Linked DNA regions of Schizosaccharomyces pombe. The protein of the gene in region 3 binds, or shares a complex with, the protein of the main gene of each other region. Each region holds a gene or a part of one and is shown on either strand. Other genes may lie near its edges.

The links.
Region 1: mrp2 (region 3) and rsm25 share a complex: the UniProt entries of both Schizosaccharomyces pombe proteins name them as parts of the mitochondrial small ribosomal subunit.
Region 2: mrp2 (region 3) and mug178 share a complex: the UniProt entries of both Schizosaccharomyces pombe proteins name them as parts of the mitochondrial small ribosomal subunit.
Region 4: mrp2 (region 3) and cox24 share a complex: the UniProt entries of both Schizosaccharomyces pombe proteins name them as parts of the mitochondrial small ribosomal subunit.

Annotation. Positions count from the first base shown.
Region 1 is NC_003423.3:4,290,396-4,293,671, reverse strand, and holds rsm25 (mitochondrial 37S ribosomal protein mS23), read left to right. Parts: upstream 1-1,709; 5' UTR 1,710-1,983; coding exon 1,984-2,646; 3' UTR 2,647-2,776; downstream 2,777-3,276. Other genes in the region: PPR repeat-containing protein Ppr7, read right to left, coding at 1-75; nucleoporin Rae1, read right to left, coding at 3,200-3,276. UniProt on the Schizosaccharomyces pombe protein: Component of the mitochondrial ribosome (mitoribosome), a dedicated translation machinery responsible for the synthesis of mitochondrial genome-encoded proteins, including at least some of the essential transmembrane subunits of the mitochondrial respiratory chain.
Region 2 is NC_003423.3:3,445,963-3,450,240, forward strand, and holds mug178 (mitochondrial 37S ribosomal protein bS1m), read right to left. Parts: upstream 2,263-4,278; 5' UTR 1,929-2,262; coding exon 1,251-1,928; 3' UTR 554-1,250; downstream 1-553. Other genes in the region: AP-2 adaptor complex subunit Apl1, read right to left, coding at 6-51, 89-297, 344-370; ade9 (trifunctional formate-tetrahydrofolate ligase/methenyltetrahydrofolate cyclohydrolase/methylenetetrahydrofolate dehydrogenase), read left to right, coding at 3,005-3,141, 3,409-4,278. UniProt on the Schizosaccharomyces pombe protein: Component of the mitochondrial ribosome (mitoribosome), a dedicated translation machinery responsible for the synthesis of mitochondrial genome-encoded proteins, including at least some of the essential transmembrane subunits of the mitochondrial respiratory chain.
Region 3 is NC_003424.3:2,504,181-2,507,567, reverse strand, and holds mrp2 (mitochondrial 37S ribosomal protein uS14m), read left to right. Parts: upstream 1-1,683; 5' UTR 1,684-1,723; coding exon 1,724-1,978; exon of another isoform or gene 1,979-2,027; coding exon 2,028-2,074; exon of another isoform or gene 2,075-2,115; coding exon 2,116-2,131; 3' UTR 2,132-2,303; downstream 2,304-3,387. Other genes in the region: mitotic spindle checkpoint WD repeat protein Bub3, read left to right, coding at 262-583, 629-1,269; AP-3 adaptor complex subunit Apl6, read right to left, coding at 2,304-3,387. UniProt on the Schizosaccharomyces pombe protein: Component of the mitochondrial ribosome (mitoribosome), a dedicated translation machinery responsible for the synthesis of mitochondrial genome-encoded proteins, including at least some of the essential transmembrane subunits of the mitochondrial respiratory chain.
Region 4 is NC_003424.3:4,761,059-4,764,756, reverse strand, and holds cox24 (mitochondrial 37S ribosomal protein mS38 ), read right to left. Parts: upstream 1,715-3,698; 5' UTR 1,679-1,714; coding exon 1,522-1,678; exon of another isoform or gene 1,480-1,521; coding exon 1,109-1,479; 3' UTR 535-1,108; downstream 1-534. Other genes in the region: ypa2 (serine/threonine-protein phosphatase 2A activator 2), read right to left, coding at 1-308; splicing-associated factor Saf3, read right to left, coding at 1,883-2,950. UniProt on the Schizosaccharomyces pombe protein: Component of the mitochondrial ribosome (mitoribosome), a dedicated translation machinery responsible for the synthesis of mitochondrial genome-encoded proteins, including at least some of the essential transmembrane subunits of the mitochondrial respiratory chain.

The DNA.
Region 1 (3,276 bases), on a different chromosome or scaffold from region 3:
GAAAGGGATTTTAAATTCCCTTAAACGTAAATGTTTTGTCCATGCAAAAAGTAGTGGAGATACACAATTTCGCATCTCTTAGCCTGGCAAGCAGACAAAAGTCGTCCCCAAAACGAGAGGCGTGGAAACGAAAAGACGCGTTATGAAGAAAAGAAACGATAATCAAATTAAAAGGATCACTATTAATGAGAGAAGGGGGTACTTGATAAAAAAAGAAAACGAGAACTCGATACGAGATGATGCATATACTTCCGTTCCCTTTCTATATGATGCGATAATTCAAACATTAAACTGTGCGAAAAGGCTCAATAATGCATCTAAACATTTCATCCAAGGTTTCCAAAAAACAGAAGGTGGTATAAATACAGCTAACTGAGCAAACCTTCCAACGTTGCGAAGTTGGGTTCTAAGCAAAACCTAAGATTGCTATTTCCTCATTAACAGGCAGCGTTAGTGAATTAACGGAAACCATCGCTATAGTTTATTTACGTTATTTTGTTATAATAGCTCGTTATTGTGTAAACATGGAAAGAACATTCATGAGTAAAAAAGAGGTCCCTTAATATAATTAAATGCAGAATATCCCTCTAAACTATTAAACTATCATTCATCGATCCTCTTAAGAATCGCTAATGAATAACGATCAATCGGCCATCATCATATATAGGAATGGCATTGAATGCAACCAGCATTTAGGCACGTTTGTTGACTCATTAGTATTTAATCAGCATTTACAATATCATCGAATACACTTTCGTCAAAGAACACAAGTGTAGTCTATTTACCTTACTTCTTCGTTATAAGCTACAGATTAACCTTACCTAGGTTATATAACACTCATCATCCAGAAGCGAATATCGTATTCTAGCATTGAGATTGCCAGCTAGCAGGTAAAATCAAATACGGAGTATAAATATGACTGCGTTATAAGTGAAGAAATGAAAATAACTGCTAAAAATGTATGAGCAGGCAAGAATTCAAGTAGTTGATGTCCATTCATAATAATACTGTACGATCAATGGCTTTAAATATTTGCAGCACTTCATTTTCACTTCAGAACATGCTAGGTGTAGCGGCATTTGCTGCGCTAATTTACTCAGTCAGTTTATGACAAAATCAAATTAGCAAATACGCATACAGCTTCACAAATACAGTACAGCCATTTAATTTGCTTTACGAAACATATAATTGATTTTGTCTAATTAATCTTAAAATTTTTTTGGAGTTTTTTGAACCATTGTTATTAATAATTCTAACGGCTGCCGGTAAATATTTAATGAAATCAGTGAAAATTAAAAGTATAAAAAAAAAAAAGTTTATTCCATAACAAAAAATTTTTAAGTATTAAAAAATTTTTAAGCAGTTTAACTTGCTTTCCTATGGCGTTAACGATTGATAAAAAAATATAAAAAAATAAAGGCAATAAACTCTATATACCTTTAGCAATTATAAAAAAAATATCTAAAAAATAATAGGGACTTTCAATCCATAAAATTAATTTAGATGAACAATCGCTTAGTTTAAATTCCGAATTTACAAACAAGCCATATCTTAGCAAAAAAAAGGCAATAGATGTGTTTAAATTTATAAATAACTATTTCATTAATAGTGTTCGTATCCTTGTGTGTTCTGAAATAAATATTCATAATATCTTACCATTAGGTTATACTCAGTAGCTACTAAGATGAGGCACACTAGTACCGTCAGCTAACACTAGCTTGGCCAGCCCAATTCCTCTTGGAAGCCATTTTCACCAAAAAAGTTGGTTTCTTGCGCTTATAATTCACTTTTTTAGCAGACTATCCATATAAGCGATTGTTTATTACCTCAAGTCATACTCTCCATTATTTATAGCGCCGTGGATGTGTTTTGCATAATTAACCCATCTCAATCATTATTCAATCCTTACTTCCATTTTCACGTTTCTATTACTGATTATTTTACTAATATACTATTTAATAACTTTTTCAGGAGGAAGATCCAATGCCGAAATTTAATGCAAATGGTTTGCTACGCAGCTTTGCAGCTGAAATGAAAAAGCCATGGACAGCAGAGTCTTTATGGTACGAAACGGTTGCTAAACATCCCCCAACCTTTCAATATGCTAGACGTATTGTACCATTGTACGATCCAAATAAGGTAAAATCCCGTGGTAAACGGTTACGAAAATCAATGTATCAGCCTCAGGAAATTCAATGGCCAGAAGATAAACTCCGTAAAAGGTTTTATCGAGATCATCCTTGGGAACTAGCAAGGCCTCAAATCATTGCAGAAAATGACGGTAATGATCAGCAATATTGTGATTGGAGTCACATGGATCAACCGCGCAAAGCATTATCTGGCGAGAGTGTAGTGCAAAGAACTTTATGGCTGATTGAAAACTCTAACATGCCTGTAGAAAATGCTTATGATCAAGCAAGAAAGGAATTTTATCACCTACGCGCTGAACAAGAAATTCAGCAACGCGTTGCCCATGATCAGGCTCAAGCATTGGGTGCTGTATTTACAAAATCTGATCTGGAGTTGGGCTATGAAATGGATCAAAATGCTTTAAATTCTTGGTTTGATAATGCTTCACAATACGCTGAGGCTAATCGTACAAAGTTCACAGACCCGAGTGTAGATATCTCTAAGACGACTCAGTAGTATTTAAATTCACAGCTGATATATCATATTGTCTCCTCAAAAATTGATTTTTGTTTTGTTTTTTTTTTTTTCAGAATTTTCTTAGTACTATCCCCTTTCAAAAATAAAACAGATATTTTTCATCTCTTTATGTCTTCAAATTAAAACAATCTATCAGAACACATTAAATTTCTACCATCTATTTGAATACATATATATATATTATAAATATTATTCAAAGCTATAGCAAGCTTTTCAGATGACACTGCCGTTTAGCCAGCTAGCGAACTTTCGCTCCAAACTTTTAAAAGTGCTTTAAAAAAAGTTCATCATTTATTGAGCAGCCAACATAGATAAGAAGATGATAGCGTCTATACCCATAACACTTTTTGTCAGGAAAGGAAAAATTTTTCTAATATTAAACGATTGCCAGTAATTGATTTTAGTCATGAATCACGAAATGCCACTTTTTTTCCCAAACAAAAAGTTAAGATACATATCAAAAAAACCAAACTCATGCCTCAACAGGATTGGTCACCATCTCACCTATGTAGACTCTAAAAATTACCATCATTTACCTTCCTTTCTTAGGTCGAGGTTTTATTTCGTCTTGCGGAACAGGGTGGAGCATGATTTTATTGGGCAATTGCG
Region 2 (4,278 bases), on a different chromosome or scaffold from region 3:
ATTACATTCAAAATAAGTTTAACAGCTCTCTTCGCCTCTGTGGGTTTCACGCTGTCAATTAGTAAAAAATAAAGAAACTTTTACAAACCTCGCGTAAATTTTCAAGTACAAATAGCATAGTTTTTTTAATTCTAGATTATTAGATTCCATAGAAGATATCACCGATGGAAACAGTGAACTCATATCATATCCATAAGATATGCCTGCAATTGCTTTCTTTAAAGCAGAAATTCGTTTGTTTGCAGATTTGTCCTTATTATCTGAGCTGAAGACTGCTAGCAAATCAGCAGCGGTAGACTTTTGTTTAAGTTAGTAATTCCGAATTTTATGAAAGTTAAATTACCGAAAAATGACTTGAACTACTCGACATTATAACAACATGCTATGTACGTGTTAACATTCAAAATGTATTGTGGTATAATACTGAGTGTTATTGTACAAAGCAAAATAACGAGTTACAGTAAAATGCTTGAATAAAAGATTGTACGAAGAAAAGAAAAATAATGATTGCTAATAAAACACGATTTTATCTCTTAGTAGGTACTAGAGTAACTGGGTAATTAAGAAGCAAATTCAAAAGACGTTTACAAAGTTTATCGGATTTACAATTTAATACACTGTCGGGAAGCGTTGATTGATATAAGCTTATTAATTTATTTATGCAAATTTTTTAGCACGTGCGTACATAATATAAACCAAACAGAGTTCAATATAAACGGACACCCTTAGGAACATCGTAGGTTTCCAGTAATGCGATACGGCCATAACGAAAATTACAAGAACCAAAATAAGTTAAAATCACTCAAAAAACAAACAATAAAAATTCAATCTTTTTTAAACAAGAATGGTGGGAATAATAAACAAGCTTGTTGACAATATTATTTCCTAGAAAAAGTAATAGGTGTATAGAATCTCTCCATGAACAAAAAGAGGGAGAAAAAAGCGGTTCACTACAATGCAAAATAACGGTTAAAAATATTTAATGATCTTAAAGGCATATCATGATAGCTCAAGGAGAAAGTAGTCCGTGCAATTAATTTCCCTAACTCAAAAACTCAGGATCGTAAGCAGATGAAATAAATGTTAAATATGGATGGATCTTCATAATAGACGATTATCAACAGACGAAAACAATATTAAGAAACAATTCCTTGAAAGAAAAGCTATTGTTTTAAGAAAACCGAAGTGACTCACGGGAGAAATAATCGTTTTACTGTTTTTTATTGTCAATGTCAACTTGTATTATGGTATTAAATACTCCTATTTTCTCGTGTGATATTTGGAATGGTTTTACCGGTTTCATCGACATTAAGAGATCGAATTACGTATCGATTTTTTGTTGAAGTAATTCCTTTGAGAGAAGTAGCAGCTATAACTCCTGAGACACCAAATAAACATTCTTTAGAGTCGGGTGCAAATTTTCCGTAAGTAAATGGTAACGGGACTTTTTTAGTTTGAATAAAGGATACTAAACTTAGGCGCTTCTTTTCAGAATCAGAAAAAGAATCTAAAAGTTTCAATTTGGCGTATAATATACCTGGTGGAAGTGTAGGTCTGGATTTAGGATTTGAGCTTGAGAAAGTGTTGTATTTCTGTAAAAGGTAAGGGGAAATTTGTTCATAATCATTAAGCGGAACAGGGAGCTTAAGGTCGTAAATTCGTTTCAAGGTGCGTACGAATCTGTCACTGCTGATGAAGGCACACTGATGCTCGAATGTGTCAAACTTTTGTATGGAAATATGACGGTTTTTTAGGATCGGTAACTTCCTCTTAGCTCCCCAATCGCCGCGAAATCTTTGGCATTTCTTCGCAGTAATTGCTTGTAGGATGGGAATCTTCGTATCATAGACATCAGGGGAGTTCCTCGGCAAGTCTGGTCTTGCTAAACTAACTGCTCGGGAGCATCTCAACAAATCAGGAAACTTCATTATAATTTTGATTAAAGATATACTTTGTCAGAAACATCCAAATTCTGCCCAATGTAAACCACCACCGAAAAGTAACTGCTGAACGAAAGTGGGTACTTCTAATGAGTCAATATTGTCAATATCAATAGCAATCACTCAGAAAACACACGAATACGACTGTAATTTTTTGATGCCAGCTATTTATATACTTTTGTCGTGCAATCCAGCTTGCGAAGTGTTTTACATCAAGTGTGCACACTCATGAAAAGTATATACGAGATGAAATTCTCTCTATTAATATACAAAATTATGGCCAATGTTACAATAGCTAGTTTGAAGTTATAGAATCGCTTTCGTTAGGAGGTCATGTCGGCATGTTGTGTAGTAAACGTTCACTCTCCTCAAGTAGCAATGTTACTTGACTCGCACACTGTTGGATAGAGAAACAGAGTGCTTTAATTGTTTACACTCGAGTAAACCATGACTGAGTACGATTTTAGCTTGTACTTATTAAATTTAACGGGAATTTTTTTTATAATTATAAATTAGTAATACTAAAGGTATGGCTATCATAAGAAAAGTGAAACTTATAAAGGTTAACTTTCGGTAAATTTGTGTGTTCTTCCTTGTTCATTAATGAGTTTATCTCTACTAAACTAAACTATATGATTTTTCTAGTCTAAGTTTATTTACTGATAATTAATGAGTTGCTTGTCAGATCGTTTGTTGTTTATATTTGTCTATTATATTTGATCTTGAGATTCTGTATATCATGTAACAGATTTTTAAACTTTTTCTTTGACTATTTGTGTGCTTATTAGCTATCTCAAAGGCTTAGGTATATTATTACTTGTTCAATACATTATGATTTGCAATAATGCAATTGTTCCAGTCACTATTCGAGCTTGAAGAATAAATTATACGAGAATGAATACATTGCTTTAATACAATCGCTATTAAAATGTTTCGGTTCATATTCTACTGTAAGCGTATTATTCAACATAGATTACCTGACTACCAATAAAAATTTTGCTTTAACACACCACCAGAGGACAGGCAGGTTCCCTTACTACCCTACCACTTCTGGGTGTCTTTCTATGAACGTAATGGTTTCGTTTAATCAATTACGAAACTATTTTCTAGAAAGCAACAGCTTACGGCCATCGAAATGGCTTTTTCAGTCGTATGGTACTTCAAGTTCTGCGAATATCCTAAATGGAAAATTATTGGCAAGGTAAGATAAAGTTTATATTCTAAATTTTCTCTATGCAGATGAGCGTGCATTTCTGTGTTTGTCTTTGACGATAAAATTTTGGTGGTTTGAAAATTGATTTGCGTACATTGCTTAATTCCGTATATTCTTCAATTTTTTTGTCGATACTTAGAAGTTAAAAAATTGTATTGGGCATTGCAGCACGTTTGAGGTTTCATCAGATTTTTTTGCTCTTAAAACTTTATATTTTTATTTCTCTTTGAGGTTACTAATGTAGCGACTAATTAGAAAATTACAACGTTCTGTTGCTGAAGAAGTGCAGGCCTTGAAAGCTAAGGATCGAAACTTTAAGCCGGCGCTTGCCATTGTACAGGTTGGAAAACGTGAGGATTCTAACGTGTACGTTCGAATGAAAGAAAAGGCGGCACGATTAGTTGGTATTGATTTTAAATACTGCCCGTTTCCTGAAACAATCCAAATGCCTGCCTTGCTTCATGAATTAAAAAAATTGAATGACGATCATACGGTTCACGGTGTCCTTGTCCAACTTCCTCTTCCCAAGCATCTCAATGAGCGTACAGTTACTGAATCTATCACTCCGCCGAAAGACGTTGATGGATTTGGTGCATTTAACATTGGTTTATTGGCAAAGAATGATGCTACCCCCATTCATTATCCCTGTACCCCGAAAGGTATTATGGAGTTATTAAAAGATAACAAGATTTCAGTCGCTGGATTGAACGCTGTAGTTCTGGGAAGAAGTGACATTGTCGGAAATCCAATTAGCTACTTGTTGAGAAAGGACAATGCTACAGTAACTGTCTGTCATTCTAAAACTAAAGATTTAATTCAGCACATTTCTAATGCTGATTTGGTTATAGCAGCATTAGGCAAACCCGAATTTGTTCGTGGTGAATGGTTGAAACCAGGATCTGTTGTGGTAGATGTTGGCATAAACGCTGTTCAAAGAAATGGAAAACGCGTTTTGGTTGGCGATGTGCATTTCGAATCTGCATCCAAAGTTGCTAGCAGCATTACTCCTGTCCCTGGAGGCGTCGGACCGATGACTGTTGCTATGCTAATGGAAAATATTGTAAACGCTGCCAAGATAGCTAGAACAGAAAACATTTATCGAAAAATTGACTTAAATCCTTTAGA
Region 3 (3,387 bases):
TATTAGCAATTCGCTTCGCTTATCTTAGATACTTGTGAGGCACAGACTGTCAAAATTTGTTGAAAAGAAGCTGAAACAGTAATTTGCGCGTATGAAAACGTAAGTATTTATGTTTAACACCTAATATAATCGGCATCGTTGGAAATTCATCTTCGTAAAATTCGGTCAATTACCATCGAACTTCGACGTTGTCCTTTTGAAGCAACATTTAAAGGCCTATACCTCGCCAAACTCCTTTTTCATGTCATCTGTCAGTCTGCCATGAATTTCTCAAAAACATTACTAAAAAATTCAAAAGACGGGATTTCAAGTGTAATATTTTCACCCTCTGTCAAAAACGAACTAATTGCAGGGTGCTGGGATGGTAGCTTACTGCATTATCAAATCTCGGAAAATCCCGAACTTTTAGGGAAATACGATTTATCAAGTCCTATTCTTTCTTTAGAATATACAGATGAAAAAACTGCTTTAGTAGGAAATTTAGATGGGACAGTTACTACCCTCGATCTTAATACGCGAAACCATGAGTTTTTAGGAAACCACGGTAAGGGGGTATCGTGCATTTCTAAGTTGCGTTTGGAAAGTAAGATATATATTTTATTAGCCAGCTATTCTATTAACATTTTAGACTGTTTCATTAGTGGGTCTTGGGACAAATCATTTCGTGTTTGGGATGTTCGCGTAAAGCAACCTGTCGAGGGACAGGATATAGGAAAAAAAATTTTTGCAAGTAGCTCGAGAGATAATATATTGGTTCTAGGCTGTTCAGAAAGAGAAAATTTGGTGTACGATATTCGAAATTTAAAACTTCCATTTCAGCGACGTCCTTCTAGTTTTAAGTATATGACTCGAAGTGTTTGCTGTAACCAAAATTTTGAGGGATTCGTTTCTTCCAGCATTGAGGGAAGGACATCTGTTGAATATATTAACCCGTCTCAGGAAGCGCAAAGCAAAAATTTTACCTTTAAATGCCATCGGCAGATACAAAAGGACTACGATATTGTTTATCCAGTTAACGACCTAAAATTTCATCCGATTCATCAAACATTGGCAACTGCTGGGGGAGATGGCGTTGTTGCGTTTTGGGATATACAAGTCCGAAAACGATTAAGAGTGTTAAATCCTTCAAAGATCAATATATCATCTATTTCTTTTAATGTTGACGGAAGCATGCTTGCAATTGCCACTTGTGCTCAAGAAGAAGCCGCTGGTAATATCTATGTTCATGCTTTGGAATCCAACTTTGCAGCTCCAAAGTTAAAGTCATGAAATCGCTCATCAAAAAGCTTCATCCATGTAAAATCTTATGCAGATTCTTTTACTGCATACATATGAAATTTATATTATTTGAAGCACTCCTATTTAATGTTGTAAATGTTCAATATTTCCTCAGTGCTTCAAAGTGATAATTACGGTATTTATTATTTTTTATTCCACTATATATATTAAGTTAATAAGCAATTAATATAAACGCAAGACCATATTTATATAAAGAACGGGTTACGATTAAAAATACTTAATATAAAAACAATGTGACACTATTTGGTAGAAATTATCTAATTTACTTTGTTTCTCTTATTCACATTGTTTATAGTTATTAAAATAACTATAATTATACAGATCGCTAGCGCAGTTCGTAATTTATTTTGACTATTTCATCTACTGAGAATACACTCACAATTTGAACACAACAGAGAAGCCTTCTAAACCAGAAATAAAAAATATGAGGGCTTTGGGCCACCTGAAGCATAAAGCATTTCGTGATTTATTATGTAGGAGACTTTTTGCTGAACACGAAGTTGAACGTCAAAGCAATCTCTATATATATAGAAATCCTGAGCTACCTCTTCGGGTGCGTTTAGAAGCCAAAAAGCGGATTGAGGCTTTACCGACTAATGCACATCCTACAAAAATAAAAAATCGCTGTATTGAGACAGGTAGAGGCCGAGGTGTATTTCGTGCGTTTGGACTTGCAAGGGTACGATTATAATGTCATATAAATGCATTTTTGATGCTGACTATTTCAGTTTCCTTTTCGACTTAAAGCACTAGCTAATAAATTACCCGGAGTTCGGTAAGAATAAGCATTTTTACTTTTGTCACTAATCCATTCAGCAAGGCATCATGGTAATAATCGTTGTTTGTATTTCAATCCATGATAAGCGTTATTGAAATAAAAAGCTTTAATTATCTTCCGTGAATCCATCATGTTTATTATTAGCTAATATTTATTCGCCGTTTAAATGAAGTACAATTATTTGCATGATTACATTCCAAAACTGAATATTTACATTATCAATTGTTTATGATTGCCAATAGTTAGGTTCAGGTTCTGTGAGCGGCCTATCCATTATACTTTTAGTAGATATAGAACTGGTATTGTTGTTCTCTGTATCTTCATCAGGTGTACTATTTTTTTCGTTGTCTTCCTCTTGAGAAGTATCATCCGTTTCTTCATCTTCACTTTCACTGGTTGATGTTTCATATTCTCCTTCAGAACTTTCAGAAGTTTCACTAGCATAAAATTCTTCAAGCGTTTGCTGGCCAACAAATTTTGGACGGTTAATTGCGTTAGTATCTCCAAAATCACGTTTAAAGTTATCAGAAGATAATGCTTTCACACCCGGTGAATTGTTTGAATAAATATTTCCCGTATGAGGGTTTATTGGCAAAACATCCTTGATACCTTCTCGGACAGAATCAGGCGGTAAATCAGAGACATCAGCCCAGTTAGGGATTGGCTCATATCCCATCACGTCTTCATTCAAACATAAACTAGCGGTACCAATGCAGTAGTCCCGAGAAGCAATAATTTCTTTTTGACTATTCCCCTTGCTTTCCAATACGATGCGCCTAGTAAATTCAGAACTCGGTGTACTAGCTAGTTCTTTGTAAAACCTAGCTCTATCTCGTAAATCGTAACTCATGTCAAAGTGTATCAAAGATAAAACATAATTAAAAAGTAGTGACACGACATCATCTCTTGACTCTAAATCGTTTTGCTTCTCTTCAGAATGAGACAAAACATATAGTCTTACCGATAATTCGAGAATTTGATACTTCACTTCTAATGTCTCATCAGCAAAAGTTTTAACAGCAATGCGTAGCACATCAGGGACTAGTCGCGGTATGATTAGTATATGCTCCGAAATAAGCCATAGTGTAACGGATTTGGCCCGCGGTACTTCCAAAGTTTCATACGTTGCAGCTAAATACTGCAGATATATTTCTTTAGGATCATTATGAATGAGAAGCCGAAGTGAAGAGGCAGCTTCTGTCACGATAAGGCTATTATGTGATTTAAGTAACAGCAATAAAGTGTTAAGACAAGAGGGGGCCATAGAAATGTTAGCACTAGCAAAATCACCCAATGCCTTTACCGCCGTT
Region 4 (3,698 bases), 2.3 Mb from region 3:
TCAATGTATACCTGATCGTAAAATGATTGAAATGCAGGATTGCCAAACCTCGACCCCATATTATCAATTGCAGGATTTTCCTGTTTAATTTCTCCAACTCGATCTAGTATATTTAATACATGCTCTATTGATGAGCTTTGCGGAATTGAAGCTGAAATAGGCTTGTCTTTCACAGCTTCGTCAAGATCACAAATAAACGAATCAATTAACTTATAAGCATCTCCTTCTTTAAATAATTTTAAGTCTTCATTGTCTAAAATTCGTCGGACAGGAACGAAACACCGGTTTTGCTCTTCTCTAGAAAGCATGTTGGCATAACTTGATCGGTTAAGACAAGATTAACAAAAGCCTTAAAAATTATACAGTTGGACGCTCTTCAATATTCCTTATGTTGTTATTTGTTATGTCAGTCGTCAGTACGTTACATTTCATTATTGTAATTAGCTATAATCAGTGAGAACATTTTTTAAAGAAAGAAATGTAGAAATTTTTTTTTTTTTTTTCAAAATTGTTTTAAGGAAATAATTTCGACTACTAAAGTTATTTTTCATACCAATGTGTTCTTTTATTCTATGTGTAAACAGATACAGTGTAATAAGCGTTTATTAATTGCTTGATATACAACAACATATTTATGATTCACATGAAGTGTACATGTCATTAATTCTAGCCATCGACAAATATTTAAAAATATAAAAAGGAAGGGCCAAAGATGGAGGTATTGTAATAGTACTAGACATGGGAAGCTAATTGATATGAAGGAGATAGCCGGCATAAACAAATAAGTGCTCCGCTTTTTGAAAATAGTTAAATAAACGCGGATTGTTTAATGATTTTATCGCAAGAAAAAAGCACCGACCTAATTGTCTCATACCGGAACATTAAAGGATAGAATATACATGAGAGAAAATGTATTCCTTGTTAAAAAAGCCTGAAGTAAACATTAAATGATTAAACGTTTCTTAAGAAAAGAGAGGTACTGATATCCAAGTTAAAAATAGAGACTCATAAATGCTTGCAGCCATTTTGAAAATGCTTGTTTACAGCTTAAACTCTCAATCCAACCAACCTAAAAATATAACCCGAGTAAAAATAAGTTCTAATAATCTCATTTTCCTAGACGTTTCCTAAGTGCTCGTTGTCGGCGTAAGCGCTTTTTGAACTTATGTTTATTCATTTTCAATTTTCTTTTTCGTTTGACACTGGTCAAATCTAAAGGTGTAATAGAAATCAGCTTATCACATATTTGTTCCCATACTTGAGTAGATATACGAGCGGGTTGAGTTTGAGTTACGGATCCAGATGCAGAGAATGATTGAGCATACAAATAGCCATCCTCTAAAGATAACACATATTCCTGGGGTTGATCTTCCTCATCCTGCGATTGCGAAACTTGTGTTTTGGACTCAACTTTAGGCACACATATTTGATTAGCTGACAAAGGTCGATATCCAGCAAAGAAATTTGCTTTTGCGATTTCTACGCAATGAAGTTAGAAATAGAAGTATTTAATTTACTTACGACGATATGAAACGTGTGAAGTTGTAGGAACCGTTGGTAGGTTATATTTCGACCCAACTTCGGGAGAAGCTGAAACATGCCAAATCGGTATGGGACTACGCAGTGAAAGGCCGTTTAAACCTTTTAATATTGTGGAAAGCGCACCTCTTCGTAACATGGGTGACCAAGGCGAAAAATGTGTTGTACTCTTTGCACTGCGGGAAGGTAAGAATTGGTATGCTTATGCTAAACACTTACAAAGAGGAAGGGTGGTGCACATTTGATATTAATTCAGAAGAATGTTGTATTTAAATATATATGTGATGTTAAATAAAATTAATGCTAAATGAAATACAAAATTGTCCTTATGTATATACAGATGTTAGGTACGTTTTCGCTTCGAGAGTGGGCTGTCAGAATGAAGTCCACCGAGACGATGCAAATTTTTTTGCAAGATTGGGTTTTTAGGATCATACCAAGCAGATCCTTCTTTTGTAGTATCTTCATTTGCCAAATGCGTCCAGCGTGTTTGGCCTGCCTTCGCAAAAAGATCTCCCCTAATTTGCATAGGTTTGGGTAATAAATCTTTATTAAGAACTTCCCCTTCTGTGGCTTCTGAATAATCTCTTTTACTCACAATATCTTCGTTTTGATAGAATGCACCCTTATGATAGTACTTTTGTAAGAACTGCATAGATGACTTTTTCTTTCCTCTCCGACTTGCTTCAGCGTCCTTCAAATCTTGGGCTTCGCGTTCCTCAGAATTCATTAATCTTCTTTCTTCAATTGCCATCTTTTCCCTTTCTAATTCCAGTGACTTTTCCTTGTCTCTCTTTTTCCTAAGCAAATGCCTTAATTTCCATAATTCATATTCACTTTGCGGATCAATTCCATCGGTATCATCGATATCATTTAATAATTCATTATTGTTTTTAGTTTCTTTCAATAGTAATTCCCGTTTTATAGTCTCTTCTAATATTTTTTGTGAAGTCACTTTTTTAAGCACCTCAGTATCTTCTTCATTGGCTTTTGCCCGATTTTTGATGACTTTACTAGTAAATTTTGGCGGAAGAAGAAGTGTCCGCCTTCTCAGCTCCATCTCATATTCCGAATCAGAAGAGTCTTCTTCTTCAGAACTAGATGCTGCAGAGTTAGATCCCCCTTCTGCCGATGATGCGTCAGTCTCATATTCTGAAGCAGAGTTATCAATTGTTTGGACTGGGTTAATGTTTTGGAAATTAGAAGACGTTTTGGTTTCAGATATTCCTTCTTTCTCGAATACTGGAGTAATAACATGTCTTGATGAAGAAATCGAGTTTTCTTGATCATGTGAATCGGAAACTTCTTCATAATCACTTTCAGAAGAAGACTCACTTTCCAGCCCTTCCAATCTACCAGAGCGATATCTTGAAATAGGTTTATGGGGTATCAACGGTGTATCTATTGGCATCTTGACAAACGCTTTTTATTAAATTGGTTGGCAAATTTCAATCAACCGGTAAAACAATATAAATATGAATTGGAAATTATATATCTATTATCTACCACCCAAGATAAAACTGTATATCTGATATAATAGATTGTATGTATGCAATTTGTGGTACGGTGCCACTTACAAAGAGGTTTCGGGGCACTTACCAATGCGAGAACAAATATCACAAGCACACATTCTAGTCAAATGAACGAGAATCCTGGCATAATTTATATTTAGCTGAAAGTTTGTAAAATTGAATTGCCTTTTGTAAAATACATCGTTTCAGTTTATGGTCAATGTAATGTATTTCCAAAAACAACCGTTGTCAACCCTTTGAGACCTTCATAAAAATTATTTAGATGCTACATACAATATATCCTTTGAAAATACCCTCCTATAATTAGTAAAAATGATGTACTTTTCAAGATCCTAAAATTCGTTGAAGTGGTTTTAAAAAATATAGAGTTCTTGACTTGAAATCTGTCAGCATCTCACTTTTTCATACCAAAATAACTTTGAAGAAATAAAACCAAACGTATACTTGTAATTTTGTTATATTGATTATATTTCTCAATTCAATTCACCTTCTAATTCTAAATACAGATAGCGAGCGCTGGCAACTAGCAACAATAGTGAAGTTAAGTTCAACTATCGTAATATAACCATTAATTGAGAGTACATACTTCCCAGAGCTTGATACTACCGTAAAATAGCAAAAATCAGG